Linked DNA regions of Mus musculus: regions 1, 2 and 3 are each reported to be linked to region 4. The links are microRNA targets in miRTarBase. Many come from high-throughput screens and were not tested one by one. Region 4 holds a microRNA gene; each other region holds the end of a gene's coding sequence.

What was found. The annotated mature microRNA mmu-miR-7b-5p reads UGGAAGACUUGUGAUUUUGUUGUU and lies in region 4 at 2,017-2,040, opposite strand. An mRNA with a match to its seed (bases 2 to 7 or 8) in the 3' UTR can be bound and repressed. Matches are read on the target gene's strand: a 7mer-m8 pairs with bases 2 to 8, a 7mer-A1 pairs with bases 2 to 7 and ends in A, and an 8mer does both.
Region 1: miRTarBase lists Rbbp6 as a target of mmu-miR-7b-5p. The part of its 3' UTR that is shown has no 7-base or 8-base seed match.
Region 2: the mRNA of Mtfmt is a reported target of mmu-miR-7b-5p. Seed matches in the 3' UTR shown: 7mer-A1 at 915-921.
Region 3: the mRNA of Ncoa5 is a reported target of mmu-miR-7b-5p. The part of its 3' UTR that is shown has no 7-base or 8-base seed match.

What each region holds. Positions count from the first base shown.
Region 1 is chr7:123,001,561-123,004,645 of GRCm38, forward strand. It overlaps Rbbp6 (retinoblastoma binding protein 6, ubiquitin ligase), which reads left to right. Exons shown (of 18, transcript NM_011247.2): 18 at 1-1,012. The coding sequence ends at 584. Among named protein-coding and RNA genes, the nearest start is that of Rbbp6, 33 kb to the left of the region's middle.
Region 2 is chr9:65,452,002-65,455,086 of GRCm38, forward strand. It overlaps Mtfmt (mitochondrial methionyl-tRNA formyltransferase), which reads left to right. Exons shown (of 9, transcript NM_027134.3): 9 at 4-1,053. The coding sequence ends at 204. It also overlaps a transcript of Spg21 not described here. Among named protein-coding and RNA genes, the nearest start is that of Spg21, 7.4 kb to the right of the region's middle.
Region 3 is chr2:164,998,869-165,001,953 of GRCm38, forward strand. Ncoa5 (nuclear receptor coactivator 5) reads right to left here. Exons shown (of 8, transcript NM_144892.1): 8 at 1,489-3,085. The coding sequence ends at 2,714. It overlaps Slc12a5 (solute carrier family 12, member 5), which reads left to right. Exons shown (of 26, transcript NM_020333.2): 26 at 1-863. Among named protein-coding and RNA genes, the nearest start is that of Slc12a5, 32 kb to the left of the region's middle.
Region 4 is chr17:56,241,972-56,245,056 of GRCm38, reverse strand. Mir7b (microRNA 7b) reads right to left here and starts at 2,069; the gene lies at 1,959-2,069. A230051N06Rik (RIKEN cDNA A230051N06 gene) reads right to left here. Exons shown (of 2, transcript NR_155493.1): 2 at 2,252-2,901.

The DNA of each region.
Region 1 (3,085 bases), not on the chromosome of region 4:
CCATGGAGAAGGAGCTGGCTGCTGGGCAGGTGGAGAAGAGCGCCGTCAAGCCGAAACCCCAGCTGAGCCATTCCTCGAGGCTTTCCTCTGACCTGACCCGGGAGACGGACGAGGCTGCCTTTGAACCAGATTATAATGAGAGCGACAGTGAGAGTAATGTGTCTGTGAAGGAAGAAGAAGCTGTTGCCAGTATCTCCAAGGACTTGAAAGAGAAAACAACAGAGAAAGCGAAAGAGAGCTTGACTGTAGCAACGGCCAGCCAGCCAGGTGCAGACAGGAGCCAGAGCCAAAGTAGCCCCAGTGTTAGTCCAAGTAGAAGTCATAGCCCTTCCGGGAGCCAGACCCGAAGCCACAGCAGCAGTGCCAGCTCAGCCGGAAGCCAGGACAGCAAAAAGAAGAAGAAGAAGAAGGAGAAGAAAAAGCACAAGAAGCATAAAAAGCACAAGAAGCACAAGAAGCACGCAGGCGCCGACGGCGACGTGGAGAAGAGCCAGAAACACAAACACAAGAAGAAGAAGGCCAAGAAGAACAAAGACAAGGAGAAGGAGAAAGATGACCAAAAAGTGAGATCTGTCACTGTGTGAAGGACGGATGTGTTAATTGACTTAATTACTAAGTCATCTGTATTAAATTCTGTTATAATGTAAAGAGATTCCAGCCTTGTAAATAATGAATGGAAGACCCTGTGCTGCACTTAAAAGTATTTGCTGCTTGATTATTTCATTTTTACATCAGAGCTTTATAACGAACTTTTGTACAGAATTGTGAGTTGTGACCATGGAACATGAGAGGTTTTGCTAGGGCCTATTATTTTTAACCACCATTAATTAGTTGGGGTGGAGTTTACTGTACTGTGAAATTTTCACATTTGAATTTTTTTAATTGCCTGGCAAATGCTGATATCAGTTCAAAAATATCAGCAGAATGATTGCTGAACTCATTACAGCCCCGTTATGTCACTTTTTGATTACAATAAAAGTTTTCAGTAAACTTTTCACTTGTTGCAAATGTATATTATTTAAAGACAGTGTCTCATTTCTTCTCTTTCCAAGATCCTTCAAGCTGAATAGACAAAATTCTAAACATTGAAAATGTACTTCAGAGAGGCCTAGTGGAAGATCTTTGTTTCTAGTAATTAGAAGTTAGGTTTCTAAAAAGGAGGGCAGGATGCTTAACCATCTAGCCATGTGGTTTTCTTAGAATTCTGTTAGGTCAATATTAAATTCCTTGATGAAACAATCCACTTAAGTGTTGTGGTTGTGCCCATTCTCTGCCCCACTGACAAAAGTAAGTAATAGTGTGAGCCTGAGGGTAGAGGGTATTCCTTCACTCTGTCTGTCTGGAACTCAGTGAAGGCACTCGGAAAGGATTTGGGGACAGGTTAAGTGGTTTTACAGAATGTGGCATGAATTGGGCCTGTCACAGTCCATGGCTAAATTGCTAGCCTGCTGTCCTAAGGTTCTGTGCTTGGAGTCTCAGTGTGTGGTACTCCATACAATTGCTGGTTCTTGGCTTTGAGTCAAGACATGTGAATGTAGTGTTTAGGGCAACATTTACCATTTAAAATTGTAAGTGATAACACTTTTTTTTTCTATTTTAAAGTGTGTGTGTCCATGGAGGGAGAGGAAGGCATTGGAGCCCTCTGTAACCAGCTGCAGTCACTCACAGCTACGTAGTTGTGAACTGTCTCATGTGGACGTTGGGAACCAAATTCAGGTCCTATGCAAGAGCAACAAGCACTTGTCACCACTGAGCCAAAGTAACATAAGTGCTAGAGGTGTGGAAGTCATCGAGAGATGCTGCCTTGGAGCCAGATCAGCTTTGCTGTGAGAGCTCAGCTCTGCCCTGATGCCAAGCACACACACCTGCTGTCAGGGCTAAGCTGTCCTGACCACTTAGGCCCACGCACAACATACTCCCACTTTTACTTTGAGGTCCTGTTTCCAACAATTGAAACTGGTTACTCACATTATTGGGCTCATTCTTGAAGCTCACCTGGCCTTCTTCACTTTAGTTGCAGCTCCACTCCTATGACAGGTTCCTGGCTACTGAACCACCTCTAAGTGTTGTGCCTTTGCAATTAAGAGCAGTTTTCCCAGCTTTGGTGGTGGTTGAACTTAGTTTACTTTTTGGTTTTTTTGGTTTTGTTTGTTTTTGTAGTCTATAGATTTGTTATGGCAACGGCCACAGAACCTGTGCCTGCCCCCTTCCCCATCTAACCCCCAAACTACCTAGATGTCGGATACTGTTTAACAGAAGCATGCAAAGGCTCAAGACATGCTCAGTGAGTTAAGTGCCTCCACAAGCCTGAGGACTTGAGTTCAATCCCTAGAACCCAAGTAAGTCTAGATATGCTACATGTGTGCTGTAACTCCAGTGTTCTACAGTGAGGGGCCACAAATGAGACACACAGGGAAGGGGGGATGGCCAACCCCAGGGTTGCCCTTTAAGGACACAGGTGCTGTGGTACATGTGTAACCACTCCCATAAACATACATGATACAGATTTTTTTAATGTATGAATGTAGCATTTGGAGGACAACTTGAAATGCTAAATAAAAGTTTTTTGTTTTGTTTTAGTTAGTATTTGTATAACCATTAAAAACACCCACAGCCCTTCATGGTACATGTGGTTTGGGTTTTTTTGTTGTTGTTTTTCTCTCCCCAACCTCAGTTGTTAATGCTAATATCTGATTGGTCCCAACTTGCACCTTATGTAGAGGAATCAGACAACAGGAAGTCTCCACCCTGTTTACTGGTCCCCAAGAAGGCCATATTGCATCTGACCATTATAAATTTACCTTTCCTTTTTAAAAATAATGGTCATTTATGTTTGTGGAGTTATGCATATGAGTGTAGTGCCCATGTGCAGGCCAGAAGAAGGTGTCAGATCCCCTGGGACTGGACTTAACAGGTGGTTTTGTTATCTTGCCCCAAAGGAGTGTTGGGAACCAAATTCAGTATACAGTATACTCTAACTGTTGAGCCATTAAGCCATCTCTCCTGCCCTTTGGGAGTTTTGTTTTTTCCAGTCTTACCACATAACCCAGACCGACCTTGAACTCTTGTTCTGTGGGTCTGATGT
Region 2 (3,085 bases), not on the chromosome of region 4:
TAGGATGGCTGGATCGGTGTTCGGTCAGTAATGCTTAAGAAAACACTAACAGCTACTGATTTCTACAATGGATATTTGCATGCGTGGTACCAGAAAAATTCCCACGCTCACCCAAGCCAGTGCAGATTTCAGACTCTCAGACTTCCAACAAAGATGCAGCAGAAAACAAAGTTGTTGCTATGCAACAGTGCATTAAGTAGCTAGAAAGACAACGGACAAGGACCTATTACACACTTGTAATTTATTAAAAGCTTGATTTACAAGCAAGAAGATGACAGCGTGGGAGAAAGAGAAGTGGTTGTCAGGAGGCGGAAGTCTTTCGCTCTCCATTGTGTGTAGCAGTCAAGGGCGGACTTTTCTACTTGAATCACACAAGAAGTTTAAATAAAATTTGTATTTATAATGTTCAGCTTAAAGGAGCTTGTATCCTTTGAAGAGTAAGACAACTAAATGGTGTGCATATATTCTAAAAGGTTGTTTTAAATGGTGCATCTATGGACTTCGGGCCTAGCTCAGTAGGTAGAGTGCCTGCTTAGCCATGGTGAAGTTCTGAGTTCGATCCCCAGCACCTCATAATCCAGATAGTGGTGCACACCTGTAGTCCCAGCACTCAGCAGAAGCAGGAACGTCAGAAGTTGAAGGGCATCCTCAGCTGTCCGCGAGTTCTGTAGGACATTCCAATTTGGATTTTTATTATTGCTGGAAAAAAGTTTGCTTTACCCCAGACTTGAAACTGGACTCCGGCTTGGGGTGGGGCTCAGTTGGTAGAATACTTGCCTAGTGTGTACACAGTGCTGTAGTCCCAGTACTTGGAAGATGAAGGCGGGAGGATCAGTTCAAGGCATCACTACCAAGCATGTTTAAGGCCTGCCCAGGGCTGGAGAGAGGGCTCAGCGGTTAAGAACACTGACTGCTCTTCCAGAGGTCCTGAGTTCAATTCCCAGCAACCACATGGTGGCTCACAACCATCTGGAATGAGATCTGATGCCTTCTTCTGGTGTGTCTGAAGACAGCTACAGTGTACTCACATATAATAATAAATCTTTAAAAAACAAAAAAAGGCCTGCCCAGGGTATATGAAACCTTGTTTAAGAACAAAAGCAAATGAAAAATGAACTCTGTTGCTAGCTTCTAGTTAAGTGACTTGAGACAACCTACTTAAATCTTTAAAACTCTGGTTTCTTAGTTTAATTATACGGGTAATAACTGCCTTGCAGAATGCTATATTACACAGGAAATGCCCAACATGGACACTTAATAATTGGTAGTGTTTGCTGTCACTTCTCAAGTTTACTAAACCACAGAGTGGCCGTATCTTAGTCAAGTACTCTGGTTATGTCTGAAGGTATCTCTGGATGAGATTAACAACGTTTAGTGGTCAACCCAGTAAAGCTGATTGCTTTTCTAATGTGAGTTAAAAACAAAAGGCGAGGCTGATAGCTTGGGGGTACAGTGCCTGCAAAAAAGCATAAGAACGTGAGTTTGGATCCCTGCTTCCACATAGAAAACAGACATGGCGACTTCTGGAACCCCAGTACTGGGGCAGCAGAGACTGATGGATCCCAGTGACCCACTGGCCAGCCAGTGTAGTTCAGTGGGCTCCAGGTTCATCAAGAGACCCTGCCTGAGAAAGAGAGGAAGGCAGGAGATGAAGAGAAAGCAAAGAAGGAACAGTAGATGTCAGACTTTGTTAGTCGCTTCTGCTCTAATGAGACCTAACCCTGTTGACTTTGAACTGGAGTCAGAAACTAGTGACTGTGCAGTTGGCTGGCAGACTGCAGATCTGGAGACTCGATGGCCTTCATGGCTGTGTGGCCCACATTATAAATCTGCCATTTCTCTGCCTTTACCTCACCTCCGTGCTGCTGTGTTCCGCCTTTGGGCCTTCTACAATCATTTTTCTCCTGGGGGGCAGCCACGCTGTGGAGTACACGGTTACACCAACATGAGGAAAAAGGTTTTAGAGTGAGACAAGATCTCAGAATTTCATCTCAGAGATGGGGAAATGAAGGCTGGGCAGTGGTAGCACACACCTTTGATCCCAGCACACAGACGGAGAGGCAGGTGGACCTTTGAGTTCGAGGCCAGCCTGGTCTACAAAGTGAGTTCCAGGACAGCCAGGGCTACACAGAGAAACCCTGTCTCGAAAAACAAAACAAAAAGCATACGTGAAGGAACAAGTTCAGGCATTGCTGCATTGCTACATTGCGAAGAATCCGAACCTCAGGATTTATCAGATTTCTGTGTGTGTGGAGAGGGGCAGTCAGTTTTCTCTTTCTACCTTGTAAGTCACGGTCGTCAGTGTCTATCCACCGAGCTATCTTGCCAGCCCAATTTTTTTTTTAAATAACTTTTTATTTGGTTTGGGAGACAGTATTTCTAATACCACCTAGCCTCCCTGAAACCGAAAGCTCTGAGTTCACTGAGAGAACCTTTCTCAAATGAATAAAGCGGAAGGGGACAGGGGAAGGTATCTGTGGACAAAACACCACAACCAAAAGCAATTTGGGAAGAAAGGGTTCAGTTTCACTTGCTCTTCCATATCACGCTTCACCATCAGAGACATTCACGTCAGGGACCTGGAGGCAGAGCTGACGCAGAGGTCATGGAGGTGGGCTCCTTACTGGTTTGCCCCTCATGACTTGCTCTGCCTGCTTTTTTTTATACAACCCAAGGACAACCGTTTACAGAGGTACTGCCCACAATCGCCTGGGCCGCCCTCCATCAATCACTAAGAAAATGCCCTACAGGCTTGCCTACAAACCTGATCTTAGGGACTGACTTCTCAGCAGAAATTCCTTCCACTCCTGTGACTCTATTCCAGTTTATATAAAGCTAACACAGTACCTGACATCTTCATATCTTCATTTGGTCTCTCCTCTCTCTCTCTCTCTCTCTCTCTCTCTCTCTCTCTCTCTCTCTCTCTCACACACACACACACACACACACACACCAGAACAAAACCAAGGTGAATAGCTCCTGAGGTTTGACCTTTGATCCACATGCATGCATGTATGCACACACAAACATGAACACATACCTACATGTATGCACCACGAAAAACAAAGAATAATAGCCCTTGAAG
Region 3 (3,085 bases), not on the chromosome of region 4:
AGCTGACCTCACCACCTCTTTTTCCTTGAGCCCAAGGCAGAGAGAACTGCAGCTGGTGCCATCAAACGGCTCAGGTGTGGCCAGTGGCAGGGCTGGAGGGCCACTGCCCTGTTGCTTGGCTCAAGCCCCTCTCAAGGCTTGATGAGGACTGGGCATTCTTCCAGGCAGTAGCCATCAAGTTGGAAGTGTAGGACCTAGGGCCCACCATCCTTCAAGTCTGCCCTCCCTTGCAGTGGTTTTGCCTTTTGGGGAAAGAGAGGGGCTGGGTAGCTGGGGAGGAGGCAGCATCGACACCAATTAGGGAACCAAAGTTGCATGACCTGGGCCCAGACTCTGGTTGGCAAGAGCAAAGTTTCCGTTGATGAAAACAGCCCACAACAAAACCCCCAGTTTTCTGTGCTCCATGTGCAATATTTGTTATGAACCTTGTGTCGTTCAAGTCACCTCTATAATCACTGTAGCTAGATGTTCCATGTCCATCCAGGTGACTTCTACTCTGAGTGCAATATTTCAGTAGCCTGGTAGTGAGAAGAGTGTCGCTTCTGTTTCAGCAGACCTATGTGCAGGGCAATGCAATGCAGTCCAAAACCCTTGTAAATAGGAGAGGTTGCAAGCCAAATCAAGAGTATTTATTGTTATTACTATTATTATTAGGCCTGCCTTTAATTTTAGTGTTTCGGTATTTCGCATCCCGACTCGGTATTGATCTTGTGTTCTTTGTGCCAATACGCAAAGGAGAGGGTCAGTTCTCTCCTTTACTGTTGAATGCTCCCACTTAATGCTTTAAGGCTTTTACTGTGTTAATTTTTTAGATACCTGTCTGCACACAATGCAATAAAAATAATTTTATTACACCCTTGATAGCCTGAAGGGTACGGTTTAGATGCTTCAGGAGGAAGTCAACTTCACTGTCGGCCTATGAAGCTTTGGCTTTTTGAGACAGGGTTTCATGAAGCCCGGGCTGGGCTGGAACTTGGCCAGTTAGATGTTAGGTGGGAAACTCTCCTCTGCTTACAGAAGTGAGCACACCAGCTTTGGGGCCCTGTGCCTGAGGTAGGAGGTGCTTCCTAGGTGTCAAGTCACATGGTACCCTCTGGGAGGCAGCAACTCTCTTCTTGAGAGGAGGGTCAGGACAGTCATGCCAAGTAGATTAAAGGCTCTTCAAGGCCTCCATGTTCTGACTATAGATTATGCCAAACTCCTGCACAATGGGCAGCAACAGGCATGAAGGCAAAAGAGGAATGACAGCCATGGCCCAGAGAGGCTCTTCCTCACAGTGGCTTCCTTCCCCGTAACCTATCTTGGACACCTGCAATACACCGACTCTAGCAGCAGGCACAGAGCGTGAGTCTGCTGTAGGCATTCCTATCAACACTTCTCACTGGCGGGCAGCACAGCGAGTTTAGGCTGGGCACAGAGACTCTGCTCTTGGGGAAAGTGCTCAGCAGAGGTGCTGCTGCAGACACACCCAAGAAAGATTAGCACAGGTCTGACTTTTTCATTTTAATTAAAAAGTAATTATTTCATTTTATCAACAACACAAGAGTTCCAAAGGGGGAGGGGGACCCACCGTATAACACAAACAGATCAGAACATAAACTGCTGCCATTTGGGGACTTAGCTTTTGAAACTGGTTTGCTCAGCCTCTGGCAGGGACTGGACTGGAGTTAGCACTCTTGCCGCCCAGCCAGGCCTGACCCTCCCCTGACCTGATCCTCACTTCATTTAATGAGCAGCCTTTCCCAAAGGAAAAGGCGCTTCTTCCTCTGGCTCCATTCAGGGCAGCAGCCAGAGCCCTTCTCTAAACATCACCCTGTCTCAGAAGTTACACGAATGCTCTTCTGTATGAGAACATACCCAACTACCACAGTCTACCATCAAGTGGTCCCCGTCTCCTGCTCATCAGAAAACAGAACAAGAGTCTGAATGAAAACAAAAGCCTGGGGCTCAAAAGAAATCACGGACCACCAAGGTGTCCAGCTCCAGAGCCTGGAGCTGCCCCCAGTGCTGACTGCATGAGGTGCAGCCGGAGAGAAAGGTGCAGCTAACGCTGTGGAGAGCAGTGGGCCCCAGAGTCACAGTTCATGTCAAAGTGCCAAGAGAGCTGCTCACTTGTCTGCAGACCCTCCAGGAAAATAAAAAATACGAAACCAAACCAACTTCAAGGGACCACTCTGATGCAGTCACAAGAGTCCTCTCTTCTCTGGCTGCCACATGGCACTTCACAGTCCAGAGAAATCACTCTTGAGTCCTTGGAGTTCTATTCTCTGATGGAACAATGATGACACTGTCTGCCAAGACCACCTGGCTTCACTGGGAGCCAGGCAGGACGCAGCTCTGGCTGCTGTGGAGGTGAAAACTAAGGCTATGACCACTGCCTCCAGAAATGGTGTTCCCATAGGGCAGCTGCGCTTGGCTTCTTCCTGTTCCTCCAAATCTGCCAGGCAGGTGCCAGAGCGATCCCAGACAGAAGCTGAGCCCAGATCCCAGAACACTTATCTTCTACCCAAACAAAAGATCCAGCCCCGAATGCAGTCTAAGTTCTGATTCTGATAAGTGATAAGCAACAGCCGCAGGAAGGAGTGGTGAGAGAAACTTAGGATATTTGATGTTGACCTGGAAAGTGTTTCGAACACTTCCAAACAACTCTACTTAGGATGAAGTAGGAGGGGCCAGGGAAGGGTGGGGCTAGGAACAGTAGACCAGTAGAGCCTCAGTAATGCCTCTGGTAAGATCCCATGGGGGCCTGGGGCCGCCCCACCTGTGCTGCAGTTTGGCTAACCAGGTGGGAAAGGGCAGGGCCACTCTGAATCAGGGTGTCCAGAGCCTTTTGTACACTTGGATTGTCAAAGTTAATACCTGTGGAAGATACAGGCCTCTGGCTAGCCATGGTGCTGGCGGGTGCCAGGCGACTGGAAGGCTGACCAAAGAGCCCTTGGGAAGGAGCCCCAGGCCTAGGGCCCATGTTCCGAGCAGACCCTGCCTGTCCCACAATGTTTGGAGGCTGATTTCCTGAGGCCTGCGGTCTTTGCTGAGGCTGGCTGTTTGCTGCTGTGGAAAAATTCTGGTTCTGGGAGCTTCCGGT
Region 4 (3,085 bases):
AATAGTGTGGCCGTTGCAGGAGGCTGAGAATGTTAACAAAGTCTTGTCCTAATTGACCAGTGAGGTAACAGGAAGTTTCTCCCACCGAGCTGAAGCCTGGAGAAGGCAGAGTTGGTTATGGGAGGTTATGTGAGTGGACTGTGCAGACCCAAGAGAGGAAACTGCATGGACAAAGCAGCCCCTGGGCTGCTGTGTGACTGAGTTTGATGTCAGCTTTACACGGGTGGAGCTTAAGGGAAGCAGGAACCTCAATTGAGAAAAGGCCTTTATCAGGTATTTTCATGATTAATGATTTAAGGCCATTGTGGGTGGTGCCATCCTTGGACTGGTGGTCCCAGATTCTATAAGAAAGAAGACTGAGCAAGCCAGGGGAAGCAAGTAAGCAACCAGTAAGCAACACCCCTCTATGGCCTCTGCATCAGCTCCTGCCTCCCGGTTCCAGCCCTGACTTCCCTCAGTGATGGAGTGTGGCCATCATTGTAAGCTGAATAAACTCTTTCCTGCCCTTTTCTTGAGTCAAGGTCCTGTCACAGCACCAGGATGCACACTAGGACAGCTGGGGAGAATTGCACAGTGGGGGATGGTTAGTGACTGCATTAGAATGTCACAGATGATAGGTGTTGAATGTTAAGAATGCCATGACCCACCAGACAACAAGTCCACATTTTCTTGGTATCAGTCATGCAACTAGTGGTTGCTTTGTGTGGCGGGCACAGAGTTTTATTGAAAATTGGGCTGGGGCTCCATGGGTACCGTACCCAGTCAAAGCATTTGAAATTCTGAATCCAACACCGTGTATGCTAGGCATGGTTCTCAGGGACTGGAGGCAAGAGAACTCAGTGTTCAAAGCCATCCTGGGCTACATTCAGAGTTAGAGAAAAGCCTGGACTACAGGTGACACTGTCTCAAAGCAGGCAAAGTGAAAAGAGTGAGGAAAAGAAAACAAGAAAGAGAAAAGAATTTCAGGGTTTTCTAGAAGTACCTTTGATGCCAATCCCTCTTTTAAAAGTTTTATGGCCGGGCAGTGGTGGCGCATGCCTTTAATCCCAGCACTTGGGAGACAGAGGCAGGGAGATTTCTGAGTTCGAGGCCAGCCTGGTCTACAGAGCAACAGCCAGGTCTATACAGAGAAACCCTGTCTCAAAAAACCAAAAAAAAAAAAAGTTTTATGTATGCACATGCTTTTAATTCAAACACTCAGGAGGCAGAGGCAGGTGGATCTCTGAATTTGAGGGTAACCTGGTCTACAGAGTAAGTTCTAAGACAGCCAGGTTTATATACAGAAACCCTCTCTTTTTTTTTTTTTTTTAAATGTAATTCTTTTTTTTTTTTTTAAAGATTTATTTATTTATTATATGTAAGTACACTGTAGCTGTCTTCAGACACCAGAAGAGGGAGTCAGATCTCATTACAGATGGTTGTGAGCCACCATGTGGTTGCTGGGATTTGAACTCTGGACCTTCGGAAGAGCAGTCGGGTGCTCTTACCCACTGAGCCATCTCACCAGCCCCAGAAACCCTCTCTTAAAAAAAAAAAAAAGAAAAATTTTTATGTGTGTTTATTTATTTGTGTGTGGAAGCATGTGTGTCACAGGACATGTATGGTCAGAGGACAACTTGCAGGAGTTGGTTTTATCCTTCTACCCAGTTGATCCTGGGGCTCAAGCTTGGGTTCCCTAATTTCAAAGCACTCTTTCCCTCTGAGTTACTCCACTGGCTCACCATTCCCTATTTGAGTCTCCAGAGAAAGCACGGTGCTGTGACCCAGGGCCCTGAGGTTGTGTCTCTGATCCTATCATGTAGATGTGTTTGAGTGACAGGCCAATAGCATGGGAAACACTCCTGCACTCTCCCAGGGCCCGAGACCTTGCTAGACACCCTCTCCTGTCCGTGCTAGACTTCCCTTAACCCCCTCCTGTCCCAGTTTCCTGCCCCTACCTGTTTGTGTATTTCAGGAGAAAGGTGATAGGAGTCCACGCTATGAGGCTGGCTGTGACTTGTTGTCATATCATATCAGAACAACAAAATCACAAGTCTTCCACATAGCACTGGCTCACGTACTCCGCTCCTCGTCCTCATCCTCCTCCGCCAGGTTCAACACCCTCAAGTGCTTCTCTCTCTCTCTCCATAGAGGATTGAGCATAACAAACCCCACTCACTGACTTACCCTCCCTAGACATCCCTTTTCCATTCCATCCCCTGAGACACAGGCAAGATTCATTCTCTACCTGCCCCCCAACTCACACCCTGGCACATCACCAACGTGGGATTTATTGTTCCAGGCACGAGGAGCACACACTTGTCACCCCAGCACGCAGGGAGTAGAGGCAGGAGGATGAGAACTTCAAGATCATCTTTGGCTACACAAGGAGTTCAAAGCTTGGTCTACAGTGTTTTAAAATAATAATAATTATATATATAATTGAGAGAAAAACTCTTTTTAAAAATAAAAAGAACTTGAGATTTAAAGTTGGATTGAGGCTGGCTTTCCCCTCACCACTTCACTTTGGAAATTAGTACACCCAGAGGCACTCATAACATCTCGTTGACCAAATGCTTCGCCTGTACTCTGTGAGTTTGAAGCCAGCCTAGTCTACATAGTGAGTTTCAGAACAGCTAGAGGTACACACAAAAAAACCCTGTTTCAAAAAAGAAAAAAAAAATCCCTCCGTAAAGGACAAATGCCAAGAACCATTAAGAGGTTCCTTCCCTGTACACTCTCCGCCAGAACAGACCCCAAGGCGATCCCTGAAGCTGGGTGTTGAGAGCTTGGCACTGCCAGGGGCCGGGTGCTGAAGCCTAGTCTCTTCGTGACCCGCTGGGAGCTGTCCGAAATCCTGGTGCTGAAGCCGAACTCTGCTCCGAGTCCCTCAGCCGGATGGCGCTGTCCGCGTCTCCAGTGCTGAAACATAATTAGTTATTGGGGGAGGGGGTGGTCAGTGCGGCTCGAGGACACTCTCCCAGCTTCTGCCTTCTGCCAAAATGCCCCGCTCCTTGTTTCTGTTCTTCGTCCTAGGGACCCATCTTCTGTTTTAATCTCTTCCCATGGACCCGGGGTGTTCTAGGCGGGGACGAAGGCGCAAGGC